4 linked regions of the Ovis aries genome follow. The protein of the gene in region 2 purifies or fractionates together with the protein of the main gene of each other region. This does not show direct contact. Links are inferred from orthologs where the notes say so. Each region holds a gene or a part of one and is shown on either strand. Other genes may lie near its edges. The genes, in order: SYMPK, CSTF2, CSTF3 and CPSF2.

Region 1 (4,413 bases), on a different chromosome or scaffold from region 2:
CTCTGCTGGAATGGCTGGGAAGGAGACATTCTCTTTCCCATGGGGTTGCCAAGAAGATGGAATGGAAGTCTGGAACAATTGGGGGCCATCTTTTCTACCCTAGGAAAGAGACACATTAGAACCAGGAGAGGGAGAGGGACTCTTGATCTTCACACACTCACGCCTCAGCCCCACACCTTTCAGTTTCACACATGCACAGAAGTAGAGACCAGGGTAATGAATCACCATGTAGCCATCAACATTTTGCTGATCTTGGCACATCTCTCCTCCTGCTTTTTTAGGGGAGACAGGGGAAGAGCTGAAGTATTTGAAGTACTTAAGACACCAGGTCACTTCACCCACACATACCTCAGTGTTAAAAGCAGCTCTGAACTACGTTTCTGTCACCTGCAATCACTGATAGATATGTGTCTAATCTGGAGAATCCTTCCTTATGTCCATAACCTACTAGATTGACGATGATGAATGCTTCAGAGGCCTGATATTTAGCCCACATTTTCTCAGAAAAGAGGAGACTGGTCTGTGGACAGGGGAAGTAGGGGAGGGGACCAACCTACCGTGGAGGGTTTCATAGGCCTGAATCACCTCCGACATGAACATGGGCCTCTGGCGGGCAATATTGGCCAGGGAGCCCAGGGCTGTGGTCAGGTTGATGGAGGAGATAGCAGGGTGCACCATGAACTTGAGCAGCTGCTCCAAGGCTGCCTTGCCTTCTTCCCACAGCACATCTAACAAGGGAGAGAAGAGGACCAGTTAGTAGGGGGCTTTCTCCCTGGCCTCCAGAGAGAGCAGTCTTTGGGACCAAAAGGAGATAGATCCTCATACATGGATGGCTGTGACTGGCTGAAAAAACTCAGGAGATTTAGTGCGTGATGAGTTTGACTATAATACTATTAATAAAAATCGAGAGATGACGCTCAAAGCATGGGCTTGCAATACTGACAAAGTAGAAATAATTTAACATATCCAACTATAAGGAATCTGTCTGAACTGCACTGATGCAAAACTCTGAATATGTATACATGTGGCAACACACAGATAAAGGACTTGAAATTCTCTGAACCACCATGTTCCTTGATCCAGTCACCAAAAGTTAACTCTAAACAACTGTGGCAAGTATCTTTCCTGACATTTATCATGCAAAAACCTACTGGATCCGACATTATACAAAACAGTGAATAAAATAGAGAATGTAATATAGGCATTCTAATGGAATATTTTGTAACATCTGAACATGATACTGTTTGGAAAAGATGCAACTTAATTTTTGTTGAGTTCAAAACGTGGTCAAACAATCCAGAAGAACATCTAATATCTGTGGAACGCTTACTACGCCAGCCATATAAACTCACCAAAAAGCTCGTACTAACACCCTAAAGGAGATGCCATAGTAACGACTCCAGATTTACCAATGAAGAAACAGGCTCAGAGAGAACAGGTCGGGTGCTCAAAGGCAGAGCAGGGATTCAAACACAAGCCATTCCACTTTCATGCCTCTCAGCTGGGAGTATTAAGAATGGCCCTGTTTTCTGTAAACAATAAACCCAACAAACACAGAAACTATGAACACACACATATAAATACCTGTCTTTGCAGAGAAAAGGTCCGAAAGGAAACAATACTCTTAGCGGTATTCATCTCTGAGGAGCAGGACCGGGGAAGGAAGTAATTTCCCTTTCTACTCCTCCGTATTTATTGCCTGACACTAAAACGTGCCTGTGCTACTTTTATAGTTTGCAATCAGAAAAACTGTGTAACCAGCTGGTATTTACTACTGAGTGCTCACATTCTCATGGAACAGCACTACAAGCCTGGAAGGGTACCATTACCACTTTCATTTTACAAAAGCAAGACAAAGTTCAGAAAGTAGTAGTTTGCCCCAGCTCACGTGAGTAAGAGCGGTAACGCTGAGATCTGAACGTGGCATCAGGGCTGTATTAAACTGATTCCAGAAATGAAAAACTAAGAAGAGAGGGGGAAAGGGGGAAGGAAGAGGAGGGAGCTGGTGCAGTGCCAGGCCAATGGGAGCAGCTGACGGGGCACTCACTGTACTGGATGTAGGGGTGGTCACGAGGGATGCGGTCCAGGCTGATGTCGTGCTCCTGGCGTCGGGGCACCTCCGAGTCGGCCATGCGGGGCGAGAGGGTGACGATGAGGCCCTCCACGAACTTGATGGCATGGGTACGGATGCCGTCGTTGTCAGAGTCCAGCAGCAGGATGATGTCCCCAGCCATGGCCGACACCATATCCCAGCAGGCCTCCTGGAGCTCACTGATCACCCGTGACTTCACCATCCACTGTGTGTGGGCCGGGGAGGGGCAGACAGACAGGCAGATGGGGACAAGACACCAATCACCAACTCCACCACAACTCAGAGATCCATCAACGATGATAAATACATTCACTGGGGACATGTTCACTGAATTACAACTCCGTCCCTGGCCCTGGGCTAGGTGATGCGGGGGACAGGACCCAGTGGTGACCACGCCAGGCCTGGTCCTGCCCTCATAAGGTTCAGAGGTAGTGACAAGGCTGAGTGTTGGAGGCTCAGATCTTAAAGAGGCCAAAGGAACAACAATGCCGACCTCTCAAGGTGGTGGCAAGAGAGTAAATGGATTTCTTCCTCTCAATAATGTTAATGTACATCGCACCACAGTGTGGACCCAGCTGGCCCATTTGGTCACAAGACCTGGTTCTCAGGGACCGTTTGCGGAATGCATAAATGGATGGATGGATGCAGGGAAAGATGGGTTAATGGCAACTCCTGGGCCTTTAGAACTCAGAGCCCCTCGTTGTCTGTCCCTAAAGATCGACAGCACATCTTGACCTCGGAAGACGGGATATGACGCTGGTTGTGGGCTCTAAGAGGCGAATGAGGCCTGTCAGGCTGGGGCAACCCCAGGCGGGCAGGGAGCCCCTACCTGCAGGGCCACCTTGTAGAGCTGGGTCATGGTGAGGATGGCCTTCTTCACCACATTCACATTCTCATCCCTCAACAGCATGTTGAGGTTCGCGATCAGTTTCAGCAGCAGCTCAATGTCTCGCTTGCTGGGGATGGAAGAAGAAAGGCAAGGTCAAGGTAGCCTTTGTACAGGTGATGGGAGCCTGCGGCCTGCCAGGAAAGGGAAATCAGGGCCAGTGTGTCAGAAGACTGGAAGGCAGATAGGCACCCGTCGTGTCTGCCAGCATCTGGTACCTTCGGACATAGGTGAACTCGACCGTGGTCTAGGTTGGTCCTGCAACGCCCACTCTCTCGTGCTATTAGGGCCCACAGTTCACCTAAGAGGCAGCAGTGCCAGACCACGGGTGTGAATCTGAACAAGCACCTTTGTCTCATTTTGAATAGGCCTGGAGGCCTGTTGTGAAAACTGCAACAATACATGTAAAGCTCTTAGAAGGGTATAAGAAAGCATTCAACAAATATTAGTCATTAATATTTTAAAGCACTCTGTCTTATGTAATCATGAGTTCTGTTTACTAATTTGTTTACCTAAGATGGAGGGCTCTGAAAGTAGGGGATTCTTTCCCATCCGAGTACTAGCAGATTCTCATTTTTTGTTGAAGGAAAGAATGAAAAGGCCTTCAATAAATATTTGTTCAGTGAATGAATAAATTCAAGGCTATACCCAGAGCTCAGAATGTGAATTTTTACATCACGTTACAATTTTATGTTAAATATTAAGCTAATCAGTCAAAAAATATGAAACTCAACCATCAGCTACATGAAGGCAGAAACAATATCTGTTTTTATCCAGTTCTATTTCTATAGCCTGACACAAATGCCTGGCACATAGCAGTCATGTGATACATATCTGGAACAAAAAGTGTTTTGGCAAACTCAGAAAACATACCACAGATTGTCCCAGTAATCTATGAAAATTCTGAAATACTATGTTACTTACCTGAAATTAATATATTATAAATCAACTATACCTCAAAAAAATATCACTTTTTTTTGCTTGTTTGGAAAAACAGTTAAATTTTTAAAAATCAAAAGTGCTATATATGCTAACATGTTAAAAAAAAGACAAAATTAGCGTTTATCAGTGAGGAGAGGGAATGGGGGAGGGGCAAGATGGGGGAGGGGGATTAAGAGGTACAAGCTACCTCATACAAAATAGATAAACTTCAAGGATATATTGTACAGCTCAGAGAATATAGTCAATATTTTACAATAGCTGAGTGGAATATAATCTATAAAAAATTTGAATCACCATGTTGTATATCTGAAACTAATATGTTACTATAAATCAAGTATACCTCAATTGGACAAAAAAAACTCTCCCAGTAAAAGATGGGAGATTGAGCATCTGGGCAATGGTGTTATGGACATGGGTTAAAATCCCAGCACTGCCACATACTGGCTGTGTGACCTTAAGAAACTCACTTCACCTCTCTGATTCATAGTTTTCT
Region 2 (4,413 bases):
TTTGGGGGCAGCTTTGCAGGCCATGGGATCTGTCTTGATTACCCAACTCTGCCATTGGAGTATGAAATGAACCACAGGGAATACGTAAACAAATGTGCATGATTGTGTTCTGGTAAAACTTTATCTATGAAACCAAGCAGTGAGCCAAATTTGGCCCCATGGGTCATAGTTTACCAACCTGTGCTCTGATTCAGTAAATGCAGAAATAAATTAAGATCCAGAGAGGTTAACTGCTCCAAAAATAACAATCTAAGTGGCAAATCCAGGATCTGAACCTGGTTCTATCTGTCCTCATAGCCTGTTTTCTCTTAACCACCTCACTATACAGTTTTCTTTTTTCTGTTCTAGAGTTTCGTGTGTGTTCTCTGAGACCATGTGATTTTTAAAATATTTGTATCCTTTAGTTTTATTCTGTATTTATTGAGCTCTTTCTATTCCAAGGGACTCCTCAGTTCTCTTGGAAATACACAGATGAAAACATAACATTCCCTTTCCCTCCAGGAGCTTTAATGTAGCATTAAATTGTTTTGTTTTTTACATTCCCTTCGAATAAGAATTGTATCTAAGGAAAGTGATGAGAAAAGAATGGTCAAAAAATTTTTTTCACCTTAAAAATATAGACTGCAAACAGTTCTGTTTTTAAAAGGAAAAAGTCCTAAATTCTTTCCTCTTCGTTTCAAGGCACTTATAAAAAAAAAAAAAAAAAAAAAAAACCTCTTACTGCCAGGCCCTGGTCTTGAAGTTGACAATAGGTGCTATATATGGCCTTGGAAGAAAAGTTAGGACAAACCTAGACAGCGTATTAAAAAGCAGAGATATTATTTTGCCAACAAAGGTCCATCTAGTCAAAGCTATGGTTTTTCCAGTAGTCATGTATGGATGTGAGAGTTGGACCCTAAAGAAAGCTGAGTGCCAAAGAATTGATGCTTTTGAACTGTGGTATTGGAGAAGACTCTTGAGAGTCCCTTGGACTACAAGAAGATCAAACCAGTCAATCCTAAAGGAAATCAATCCTGAATATTCATTGGAAGGACTGATTCTAAAGCTCCAATACTTTAGCCACCTGATGCGAAGAGCTGACTCATTAGAAAAGACCCTGATGCTGGGAAAGATTGAAGGCGGGAGAAGGGGATGACAGAGGATGAGAGGGTTGGATGGTATCACTGACTCAATGGACATGAGTTTGAGCACACTCTGGGAAGTGATGAAGGACAGGGGAGCCTGGTGTGCTGTAGTCCATGGAGTCACAAAGAGTTGGACACAGCTGAGCCACTGAACAACAAAATGGCCTCACTGCACAGACAAGACTTGTGTATCTCTACTTTTAGAATATGTTTTCTCTCAGTCATGTTCTGTGTAACCAGGTTCATTGTATGTATTGCAACTTCTATTCAAAGTGTTATAAATCTAATGTTGCATTAGACATGCTGTAAGAAAAGGGTATTTGGTAGAATATTTGGTGCTGTCCATTTGAAGACTTTGCATGTTGAATCTCCACAGAGGCATATACATACTCTGGTTTTTCTCTTGGTCAGAGTGGAATGCATGTCAATGGTGCGCCTCCTCTGATGCAAGCTTCCCTGCAGGCTGGAGTTGCAGCACCAGGGCAGATACCAGCCACTGTAACAGGACCTGGCCCTGGTTCCTTAGCTCCTGGAGGTATGTTTTCATTTAGAGTCTTTGCCATTTTGGTGTTTTGCTAGTGTTTTGTTACGGAGAAGGCAGTGGCACCCCACTCCAGTACTCTTGCCTGGAAAATCCCATGGACGGAGGAGCCTGGTAGGCTGCAGTCCATGGGGTCGCTAAGAGTTGACACGACTGAGCAACTTCACTTTCACTTTTCACTTTCATGCATTGGAGAAGGAAATGGCATCCCACTCCAGTGTTCTTGCCTGGAGAATCCCAGGGATGGGGGAGCCTGGTGAGCTGCCGTCTCTGGGGTCGCACAGAGTCGGACATGACTGAAGCTACTTAGCAGCAGTGTTTTGTTATAGCAAATGGCCTAGTATATAGCAAAATTATGATGTGGCAACGAGATCTTGATACTAATGTGTAGCTAGGCAGTATATATCCTAGGTGGAACAAATAGTTGATTTATTGTATACAAATTTACATGTCTGATTATGAGAGCAAGGCAAAGAATGACAAAATTCCTAGTTAATGAGGGGAAAAATAGAATGAATGGAAACTAGACCAAATCAACAAATACAGAGAAAAGGAAACGACATTGTGAAGTTATGATAATAAACATAGAGTTAAGGTGGAAGGAATAAAGTCTCATGTAGTCATTCTGCTAAATGTGAATGGACTCAGTTCTCCCACTAAAAGCTAGAGACTGTTAGGTTAGGTTAAAAAGTACATGGGTTGGGTGGGGGGCAATAAACAAAAACAAAATGCCTGGTGTTGTTACCATTATGTTTAACAAACGTAACACTGTATTTCATGAACTATAGTGAGACAACAACAAGAGGAAAAAAGAATTTTAAAAACTAATATGTTCACTAAAATTGTGTATGTAGGAATTAATATTACACTTACAGCTTTTCATCATTCAGTAACCATAACTAAAAATGTTATGGGTGGAATAGTGATTCCTCATGTGAAACACCTGTGTGAACATATGACATGTATTTAAAGTTTTTTATGCAACAAACTCACTTGTTATTTTATCTAATCTGGCTTAGATTAACTGCAACACAACTAATAGGTGATAATTTGGATTTAAATTTTTCTGCTTTATAAAGAAACCAGTCTAAAGATCTTAAGTTGACAGGGAATGGGAGAAGGGATTTTTTTTTTTTCAGTTTAATTGGAGACTAATTACTTTACAGTATTGTAGTATTTTTTGCCATACACTGACATGAATCAGCCACAGGCGCACATGTGTTCCCCATCCAGAACCCCCCTCCCCATCCCATCCCCCAGGGTCATCCCAGTGCATCAGCCCTGAGCACCTTGTCTCAGGCATCAAACCTGAACTGGCAGTCTGCTTCACATATGATAATATACACGTTTCAATGCTACCCTCTCAAATCATCCCACCCTCACCGTCTCCCACAGAGTCCAAAAGACTGTTTTTCACATCTGTGTCTCTTTTGCAGTCTCGCATATAGGGACATCGTTACCATCTTTCTAAATTCCATATATATGCATTAGTATGCTGTATTGGTGTTTTTCTTTCTGACCTACTTCACTCTATAATAGGCTCCAGTTTCATCCACCTCATTAGGACTGATTGAAATGCATTCTTTTTAATGGTCGAGTAATATTCCATTGTGTATATGTACCACAGCTTTCTTATCCATTCATTTGCTGATGGATATCTAGGTTGCTTCCATTCCTAGCTATTGTAAACAGTGCTGTGATGAACATTGGGGTACACATGTCTCTTTCAATTCTGCTTTTCTCGGTGTGTATGTCCAGCAGTGGGATTGCTGGGTCATATGGCAGTTCTATTTCCAGTTTTTTTAGGAATCTCCATACTGTTCTCCATAGTGGCTGTACTAGTTTGCATTCCCACCAACAGTGTAAGAGGGTTCCCTTTTCTCCACACCCTCTCCAGCATTTATTATTTGTAGATTTTGGATAGAGGCCATTCTGACTGGTGTGAGATGGTACCTCACTGTGGTTTTGATTTGCAGTTCTCTGGTAATGAGTGATGTTGAGCATCTTTCCATGTGTTTGTTATCCATCGGTCTGTCTTTGGAGAAATATCTGTTTAGTTCTTTGGCCCATTTTTTGATTGGGTCATTTATTTTTCTGGAATTGAGTTTCAGGAGCTGCTTGTATAATTTTGAGATTAAATTCTTTGTCAGTTGCTTCATTTGCTATTATTTTCTCCCATTCTGAAGGCTGTCTTTTCACCTTGCTTATAGTTTCCTCCATTGTGCAAAAGCTTTTAAGTTTAATTAGGTCCCATTTGTTTTATTTTTGCTTTTATTTCCATTAGTCTGGGAGGTGGGTCATAGAGGATCCTGCTGTGATTTCTGTCAGAGAGTGTTTTGCCTATGTTTTCCGTGTTTTATATATTTTCTTGTGTTATAGGTTCCTAGCTAATCTTAAAATATCACAGGTTGTATGTAACGTGGTCCTAGTACACATGGCAAGTGTGCAACTTGTGACATGCAACTCATTACTGAGTTGAGAAGCACCTAAGCTGGTCTATGCCCTGTTCAGGGAGCCTAGTGCACATCATGCATTTGTATGTCACAGCAGTGTCAAGTTTCTATAAAAATGTCTGCTCTCCATTTCTGTACTTAACATTGTCATGAACTACTAACATACAGTGTATAAATATTGCCATCTGTAGACAAAACATAAGTAAGGATGTTGAGAAATAAAATAATGGAACCAATAAGCTTGATTTAATATATATAGAGAGCCTTACATATTTTGACTAGAAAATATACTCAC
Region 3 (4,413 bases), on a different chromosome or scaffold from region 2:
GCAATATCTGATAGTGCATGTTCACATGAATAGAAAAGCTTTTTATGATATTTTTCTTAGTAGAATTAGAACATGAACTGGCCTCTCTGTACCAAAGAGGGTTTGGACCCCTGCGAGGTGTCACTGCACTGCTGCAAGGTGGCTAGCTGGTTTTGGAAACTTCAGTGGCGATCTCTCCTATCTTGGAGACAATAATGTGAATTCCACTCTAAAAATGGAGCCTCATCACTTACTATTTGGTATCTTGCATCTTCGGAAAATTTCCATTAGTTCATCCACTTGTACAAAAGGACCCTATTTTGACACAAAGAAAACTTAATCCCCAGTAATCTGATGAGTTAAAATAGCCCCACTTTGTATTTACCATGATAAAAGAGAAAAAGTACATAATTACTACATTTACCCGTAGAGCAAATATCTGTCATGAAAATGGTGAACAAACCTGGAAACAAATAGGAGGAGGGAGAAGTTTCATTAAAACAACTGCTGCAGGTGGCACTGGGAACACTCCACCAGGGACAGGGTGTAAGCCTGGAGCTGTAAGAGAAAGGAATATAGGAATGGGGCGGAAGAAATGTCTATACATGTAATAACTAACATAAGTAATTTGTACATAAATTACTATGTACAAAAAGTCTTTGTTCTGGACACCTTAAAATGTTTTTAGTGTTTTATATGTTTGACCAAACTCAAGTGGGTGAGACAGTGAATGCAGTCTCAACCTCATGGCCACTGAGGGGCAGAAAAGTAAACAAGTGACTGTGCATAAGATGACCCAGAACCTGAGTTAGTCAGTTTTTGTCAAAGATCATGTCTAAGCCTCACAAGTCATTTTTTCAGCAAGCCCATAAAGTCAGTTATACAGTAACATCTGTCATTGTAAGGGCCTTGTTCAAATAGAATTCAGAGACTACTACATATTAGTAAGTATAAACAATACCAAATATCACCAAAGTAAGCTTCCAGCTGTGCAGGTAACCTGTATGTAGTGGCATTTCAGAAAACTCTCTTACGTATCACTGCCAAATGCATTACTGCAATCTGGATCAGTGAAGTTTTTTGTTTAAGACATTTTAAACTCATCTTGATTCAAAGATTATAGCCAAATCACTTGTCATTATTGACCCTGAGTCTAATTATTAACCTATAATGGAAAGGTCACATTAATTTGCCCCCTCCAACCCCCACACACCTCTGGATTAAACCAACAAACAAACTGAGGTCTCAGTACTGGATCTAAAGTCATGGCTTACGTGCTAAATGTCGTGGCTGAAATGGAATCATCTGCTGAGTGTCTGGTTTAGGGTATTCTGGTTTTCTATCCACTTCATCTTTCAGAACAGGCACTATAGAAGGAGCTACAACTGGGTCTGGAATTATAGCTGCTAGCTTAGCACGGGAGACATCCTGAAAATGCAGAACAGAAGAATCCTAAACCTGAAAAAGGGACTTAAGAGTAGAACTGTGCAATTCTACACTCCTGAGGATACACTAAATAACTCGGTTAAAACCATAGCGAGAATGGAGAAAGAAAAGCAAGAACTTCCATGACAGTGAAGACTGACAAATGTAAAGAGTCATTAGACTCAGTGTCACCAGGTGGGACATCTGTAGGATCCTTTTGTAGGTAATACATACCGGGTAGATATATATACCTGGTAGGTAATAGATACCAGGTAGAGGTGGGGTAATTTGGAAGAAAATCTGCAGTTTTAGATATTTTCTGATATCTCCTTTCCACTAAAACTGAACATCATCCATCAAGTTCTCTAAGTGAAGAAGCTGATTAAGTAAGGTGCTCTTTCATGAAACCTAACAAAGCTTATCACTTAACGTTAGTTCATAAGATTTTGCTAATGAAATGAAAAATTATTCCCAACATACTGTTAGAGGGGAGAAGGAATGTTTGTTGAGTAACCACATTTGTCAATTTTTGCCGTTCATTCACTCTTTGAGGAGGTAGATAGGATCACCTCCATTTTACAGAAGGGACTAACGCTCAAAGAGGTTCTGCTATCTCCAAGGTTAAATGGCTAGGAGGCAGACAGAGGAGCTGAGAGCACGGGCCTCTCTGACCTCACCCATTCTGTCTTCTTCTCAGTGTCCCAGCAATGCCTGCCAGGGCTGAGGGCAACTCTGAGAGAGCCTCTTTTGCCAGCATCAAGGGATATAAGAGAATTTCATGTTCTCAAAACTTGCTCTTATGCAGTTGGTGGCAAATCTAAATGAGGACACCCACTGAGAATTGCTTTTATTCCTCTCTTTCCCACTCTCACTTATGTGCCACACACAAAAGCATAATGATCCTTCCCAAATACACAGAATATAAACAGAAATACAAGATGGAAAATTCATGAAGATATTTTCATTAACTTCCTTAATTTCCATTTTCAACTTGGCAAAGTTGAAATAGTCTAAAGATTCCACAAAACAGTCTTAAAAATGCCTTTGGCTTTTCATTAAGAATTTGTTAAACCAGGAGCAGAATCCCCTCAACCTTGAGCAGTAACCCTAGTTCAGAATAGGAATATGGGGCTGGCATACAACTGGAGCTTCCATTAATGAAAAGGTCTGAAGTTTATTTTAATCTGGTTCAGACACAAGACCAGTGAGACTCAGGCTAAAAGAGGGCAGTGAGGAAATGAAGAATGATGGTGAGAACATCCTAGCTGGCTGGCTTAAGGAGACCAATCAATCCAGGACTCATGTGGATATCGCTTCCCCTTGGATTTTCATCTGGTCTTTGTTCACCTGACACAGAAAAACCAGGCAATGATAGAGCAATTGTTTTCTCACCAAGGGCTATTTCCAGGCTATTAATCTTTCCTTTTGGCCTGAATAAGTTCAGGTCCCAGATCTGTTTTCTTAATGGTGCAGAAGTCCAAATAGAGGAGTTCCATTCCTAGATAAGCTGTTGAGTTGACGAAAAAGTTTGTTCCAGTTTTGTTCCAGAAATGGAACGAAATTTTTGGCTGATGAAATAATTTCCTAAAGGCCTCCACTGAAGGAGCCCTGTTTCAAGATATAAACACTTCAAAGAAATTTATGGATTTACCAAGCTATAAAGTTTCTTCATTATATCTACAACATAAATATCAGGAATTACATTTGGTTTAAGATCTCCTGTCAAAACACACTCCTCAGTTTTAAGAACTGTTAGAGAAAAACTAACCTAAGTGACATTCAGATTTTCCACCTGCCCACAAAATGTAAGAAATAAGGCATTGACAATTTCAAGGAAAGAATAAAGTTTGTTAAATCTCATTTTAATTCTCATTTTGTTCATTACTGTTGATAATATTTCACAAACCCAAGGAAAATCCCTGAACTTTTTGTATTCTGCAAATCTATTCTAAAACTAGACTAATTTCAATTTCGGAATTTACTTTAAAATTTGTCCATGAACTATTCTAAAACATTGGGAAAGTAAAGACATCACACACATCGTGAGCCCAAGTACATACCTTATACCCAAGTGCTTTTAGTTCACTTGCAGAGCAAGGATATAAATCCATGAACTTGTATCTGTCTACCAGTAAAGCTGTTTCTTTGCCTTCATACTCTTCTTTGAATGCTGTAAACCGTCTTTTCTCCACTTTGAGTATGCTAGCTAGATCACCGATATTACTTTCAAAAGCTAGAAATCGGGCCCAGATTTCTCTGTAAGAAAATAAATATAATCAATACTTCACTATCCTGGGTTTGGGACTTACAAAAATCTTCCAGTTCCTTCCCCTTCCTTCCCCTTTTTAAAATTATAAGAATCTATTTTTTTTTTATTACAAAGATTTCTAAACTTCCAAACATAGAGTAGTATAATGAGTACCTATATTCCATTACCTAGATTCAGTCATCATTAATATTTTGCTACATTTGCTTCCCCATGTTTTCACTTAAGTATCTGAAAGTGAATTATAGTCATCATAACCTTTCACCCTAAATACTTTCATATTTAACGTGTTTTTGTTTTTTGTTTTTTTAGTTTTTTCTTATTTAGCCTACTTCCTATCATTTGTGGTCAATGAGACATTTATCCTAGAGACAGTAAACTAACTCTAGGTGGGGAAGAGTTGAAAAGGAACCTAGATTTCCAATTACTCCTGAATGATATGACTTCACCATTTTGTAGTGGTATGAATTAAAATGTAGAATACATTCTTTGTACAATGTATGAATAAAAATATATTTCAAAATCTAACATGATTGTTCTCTATTTTTTCCCATTAATAGGGATCACTGGGGACAAATTAGTGCCTCACCACTGTTTTAACAGCCAAAATTAATTCTCTGAGACTCTACTTAAAATGTCAGTAAGCACCTCTGTACTAAAGTAATACAGTGACTTCCTATTTTATGCTAGGTAGGGGACTATCACGAAACTTCTATACTGGGAGACATTATTGCTACTCAACA
Region 4 (4,413 bases), on a different chromosome or scaffold from region 2:
TACAAAGAAGGACTAGAGCTGCAAAACACTTGAGTATTTGCAAAATAATCATGATGGCTCGTGGATCCATATAACATGAGTGAAGACAGGAGATGGTCATGGACAGTGAAAAAGTAGTCAGTAAATTAGAGATACAGTGAGGCCAAAGGGTTTTTGCAGTGGGAATTCTAGAGTAGGGAAGGTGGGAGTGAGATGGGGAGATCGTTGAAAGTGAAGTTTGGAAAGTGCTGCAGTCATGATAAGGTCGTGATAAGGTCATGGTTTTGACTGTGGTGCCGGGTGGCTGAAGTGAAAAGACTATTGGAGTTGAGAAAGTCAAGAAGAGAAGAGGTCAGTAATGAAGCTACTCAGAGGAAGACTGAGTCAGGAACTAAAGTCCTCCATTAACGAGGAAGGACAGGAAAGGCTACGGCGAGCTGGCTGGGCAGCATGAGTTCAGCGGGACTCGAGTGTTTCCAGGAGGAAGGAGAAGACATGCACTGGAGGCTGCGGTGATGAACAGGGAGCACATGCTTCCTGCCTTTGAGGTCAGGGAATCCAGGAGATATAAGGCCTCTTGAGAAGGCTGGAGGAGACACAGAATCATTTGAGGAGAGCTAGGTTTCTGTGAAGATTTGCGGATGAGGAAAACCTTCAGAGAAGAGGGTGAAGTTCTCGGTGAGTGTAATGGTTCCAGAGGGAATACTGAAAGGATTTGGAAGGCAGAAGAGGTAATGAATTGGTCCCGCTAGGTGGACTTCGGTGATGATGGACAACCTCAGAGTCTTGGGTCTTTGGCTGTGACCGAAGTAAACAAGGATGGAAGATGTGGTGACAGTCTGTTAAGAAAGCTGGGCAATTTACCTTAATTTGTTGATATGACCTTGGGCAGATGTTGAAGGATCATCAGCTGTGCAATGACCTCTCTGTTTTTTTCACATAATAATAATTTTAATAATAGATGCTATAGAGCAACATTAACAGTAATGAAAAGGCACATTAATTAGAGGGAGGTCTAATAACTTAGAAAACTTTTGAATCTTTCAACATCCCCTTTTCTTCTAAGCACTCTAAGGATACATAACTGTGAATGAATAATTCTCTAACTTGCATAGTTAACCAGAAAAGGCAAATTTATTTTAAGAACCTAAGATCTGAAATCTTGCTGTGGAGTTGTGCTTTGCTAATGAATGTTTTTAATAACGTCTATATCAGTTCAGTTCAGTCCCTCAGTCGTGTCCGACTCTTTGTGACCCCGTGAATCGCAGCACGCCAGGCCTCCCTGTCCATCACCAACTCCCGGAGTTCACTCAGACTCACGTCCATCGAGTCCGTGATGCCATCCAGCCATCTCATCCTCTGTCGTCCCCTTCTCCTCCTGCCCCCAATCCCTCCCAACATCAGAGTCTTTTCCAATGAGTCAACTCTTCTCATGAGGTGGCCAAAGTACTGGAGCTTCAGCTTTAGCATCATTCCTTCCAAAGAAATCCCAGGGCTGATCTCCTTTAGAATGGACTGGTTGGATCTCCTTGCAGTCCAAGGGACTCTTAAGAGTCTTCTCCAACACCACAGTTCAAAAGCATCAATTCTACGGCACTCAGCCTTCTTCACAGTCCAACTCTCACATCCATACATGACCACAGGAAACATCTATATAGTAGCACACAATTCTAGGTCCTAAATCCCAATAGATGTTTTCATGTTGTATCTTCTTGAAATACATAGTAAGTATCCCAACTGTATGCCATCAGATATGTCTTGAACACCTGCTATATGTCAGAATCTCTTCAGGAAGTACAAACTATAAGGTACTACAATTGTTTATCAGTTGCTCATGTTCCAGTGCAAGGCTTCTTAACAAAATTCCCTGAAAAATATGTGAATTGCTACATGTATATGGACCTTTTTGTTTTTTTAAGGACTGAGGGGAGCAGGAAAGATCCATAGCTTTTATCACATTGTCAAGCGGTCCTTTATTTAAGGACGACTGGTTTAGTAATAGAGAAAGACACATAAACTAATAACAGTGTAATGCAGTGTAATCACTGCCATCTCAGAGCAAAATAAACGAGGAGCAAATTCACCTTGAAGAATAAGTTTGCTAGTTTAGTATACTACATTTATTTATTGAGAAACTTGCTGGTCTCCCTTCTAGGTAATTTATACATCATTTGAAATCTTCTAACATCCTTTTAATGTATATATTAATATTCATATTTTATAGGATACATAAGTGAGGGAAAATTTAACTAACCTGCTCAGAACCATATAAGTATAGATTCAAATACAGGTCAGTCTGATTCCAAAACCTACTACTTTTCATCAACCACAATGGGGGGCCACTGAAGGACTCTATATACAGGAGGGTGTAAGATTATGTTTGTACCTTCACACTTAACAATGATGGAAATAGGTCTTTAAAATGACTCTGCTTTTATGTTTAACTATGTTTTTATTTCTGTTGAAAGAACCTTTTGGATTGTTGTTGTTGGACCGAAAAAATGACATCTATTATCAAATTAACTACCCTTTCTGGGGTCCAAGAAGAATCTGCTCTTTGCTATCTTCTCCAAGTCGACGAGTTTAGATTTTTATTGGACTGTGGCTGGGATGAGCACTTTTCTATGGATATTATAGATTCCCTGAGGAAGTAAGTTACTGTTAATATTTCTACACTTTTAATAAATCAACTTCTCTTTTCTATGCTGTAATACTATTTTGATGTTACACAGTCTTTGCTGTTTTGCTCTAATTTAGTTGAGAGTAAAACAGTTTCATTTAAACTGAAGAACCAAAAAATGACTTTTTATTTGCGTAGTTTTGATTGACTTGTAAGCTGTGTTTATTGAATGTCACCAAAATCTTAAGTTAATTGTTACTTGATCAATGGATCTCAATAGAAATTTTTGCACCCTAATTTTAGAAAAGAGCAAAATTAAATTTATAAGAATTTGAAGAGAGGAAAACTGTACTTGTAAAAGTTCTGGAGTCAGATCAGATTAGCTTATTTTCTTTTAATCTTTTGATGCTTAGACATTTGAGAATTGGTGCTTAGAATAAAGCCCATGGGATTCAAAAGGATCTAATCCATCAAAGAAAAACTTAGTTGTGTTAGCAGTATTGTACTAATTATGGAATGCATGAGAACTTAAATATTGAAAAAACTGAATAAGAACTTATAGCAAAAAATTTTTTTGTTTCTTTTGTTAATGAGAATATATTATTCATTGACTAAAGTTACACTATCATGAATATACTGTCAGTCATTATGCTAAAAAGCTGAGACAAAAATCCATAATAAATATGTGGCCTTTTAAATGTCCTTTTCTTAACAATTTCTTAAATGCTGAGTTCTTGAACTTTAATAGTATATGAGATAGCCTCTTGAAATCAGTTTATAGGTGGTGTCTACTGTTTTCCTTCCTTTTTTGAAAAAACATGTCTAGACACTATATATTTACGTGCAACTCATACCAGTTTTGATCTCTGTGTAGGACAGGGGTAGTACTAATTGAAATTCATAGGTGACGTAATTTTAGCTCTCAGTTGAGCATGGGTTCTCAGAGTCGGACATGACTGAGTGATTTCACTTTCGCTTTCACTCTTTTACCCCATCATAGTCTTCAGCTCAGAATACTGAGAGGAATCAGAACCGGCAAATTAATTTTGAGTATCCTGCCTGTTCCTTTAGGAACAAGACTCAGTAATAGTCGTCTTGCTTGTGTCCTAGGCACGTTCACCAGATCGATGCGGTCTTGTTGTCTCATCCCGACCCCCTCCATCTTGGCGCCCTCCCCTATGCTGTTGGAAAGTTGGGTCTGAACTGTGCCATCTATGCAACCATTCCCGTTTATAAAATGGGACAGATGTTCATGTATGACCTTTATCAGGTAATTTAAGCAATTTAAAAAAAAAAACCTGTTTTAACACCCCTGCAGTGATCATTTTTAACCTTTTATTTGTATTATTTTTTTTTTTTAGTCCCGACACAATACAGAAGATTTTACACTCTTTACCCTAGATGATGTGGATGCAGCCTTTGATAAGATACAACAGTTAAAATTCTCTCAGATTGTGAATTTGAAAGGTAAAACATGTTTCCAGTGGCAAATAATTGGGCAAATGGTGTTTGAACTACTGAAAAGTACAAGGGAAATTTGTAGTAAAAAATTATAGGCACTGTTGTCTGAAGAATAAAAAAATAGCATTTTTTTTCAGAGGGAACTGTGAACTTCCCCCAAATCATCTGAATTTTAAAATATTCCAGGCTAAATTTTAATAAAATGTAACAGCTCAGGCCTCCTTTTCACATTTAATTTAGGAAGACTTACTTTGTGATTACTGTATATAATGCGCAAAGGTAACATGGTCAGGTTCTCGTTCAAAGAGCTCACAGTGAGGTTGAGGAGAAAAAGTAGCTCAGATGACTAAACG

Evidence for each region.
Region 1: the proteins of CSTF2 (region 2) and SYMPK purify together in Homo sapiens (affinity purification with mass spectrometry; 4 studies listed by BioGRID and IntAct, with this or other methods). This does not show direct contact. The link is inferred for Ovis aries from reciprocal best matches to the Homo sapiens genes CSTF2 and SYMPK.
Region 3: the proteins of CSTF2 (region 2) and CSTF3 fractionate together in Homo sapiens (co-fractionation; 4 studies listed by BioGRID and IntAct, with this or other methods). This does not show direct contact. The link is inferred for Ovis aries from reciprocal best matches to the Homo sapiens genes CSTF2 and CSTF3.
Region 4: the proteins of CSTF2 (region 2) and CPSF2 purify together in Homo sapiens (affinity purification with western blotting; 3 studies listed by BioGRID and IntAct, with this or other methods). This does not show direct contact. The link is inferred for Ovis aries from reciprocal best matches to the Homo sapiens genes CSTF2 and CPSF2.

The regions. Positions count from the first base shown.
Region 1 is NC_056067.1:53,164,824-53,169,236, forward strand, and holds part of SYMPK (symplekin), read right to left. Parts: intron 3,049-4,413; coding exon 2,922-3,048; intron 2,298-2,921; coding exon 2,048-2,297; intron 729-2,047; coding exon 558-728; intron 1-557. UniProt on the Homo sapiens protein: Scaffold protein that functions as a component of a multimolecular complex involved in histone mRNA 3'-end processing. Specific component of the tight junction (TJ) plaque, but might not be an exclusively junctional component. May have a house-keeping rule.
Region 2 is NC_056080.1:132,554,436-132,558,848, forward strand, and holds part of CSTF2 (cleavage stimulation factor subunit 2), read left to right. Parts: intron 1-1,535; coding exon 1,536-1,659; intron 1,660-4,413. UniProt on the Homo sapiens protein: One of the multiple factors required for polyadenylation and 3'-end cleavage of mammalian pre-mRNAs. This subunit is directly involved in the binding to pre-mRNAs.
Region 3 is NC_056068.1:62,534,693-62,539,105, forward strand, and holds part of CSTF3 (cleavage stimulation factor subunit 3), read right to left. Parts: intron 3,661-4,413; coding exon 3,465-3,660; intron 1,408-3,464; coding exon 1,254-1,407; intron 538-1,253; coding exon 443-537; intron 295-442; coding exon 234-294; intron 1-233. UniProt on the Homo sapiens protein: One of the multiple factors required for polyadenylation and 3'-end cleavage of mammalian pre-mRNAs.
Region 4 is NC_056071.1:54,629,740-54,634,152, forward strand, and holds part of CPSF2 (cleavage and polyadenylation specificity factor subunit 2), read left to right. Parts: intron 1-2,447; 5' UTR 2,448-2,480; coding exon 2,481-2,629; intron 2,630-3,709; coding exon 3,710-3,869; intron 3,870-3,960; coding exon 3,961-4,066; intron 4,067-4,413. UniProt on the Homo sapiens protein: Component of the cleavage and polyadenylation specificity factor (CPSF) complex that play a key role in pre-mRNA 3'-end formation, recognizing the AAUAAA signal sequence and interacting with poly(A) polymerase and other factors to bring about cleavage and poly(A) addition.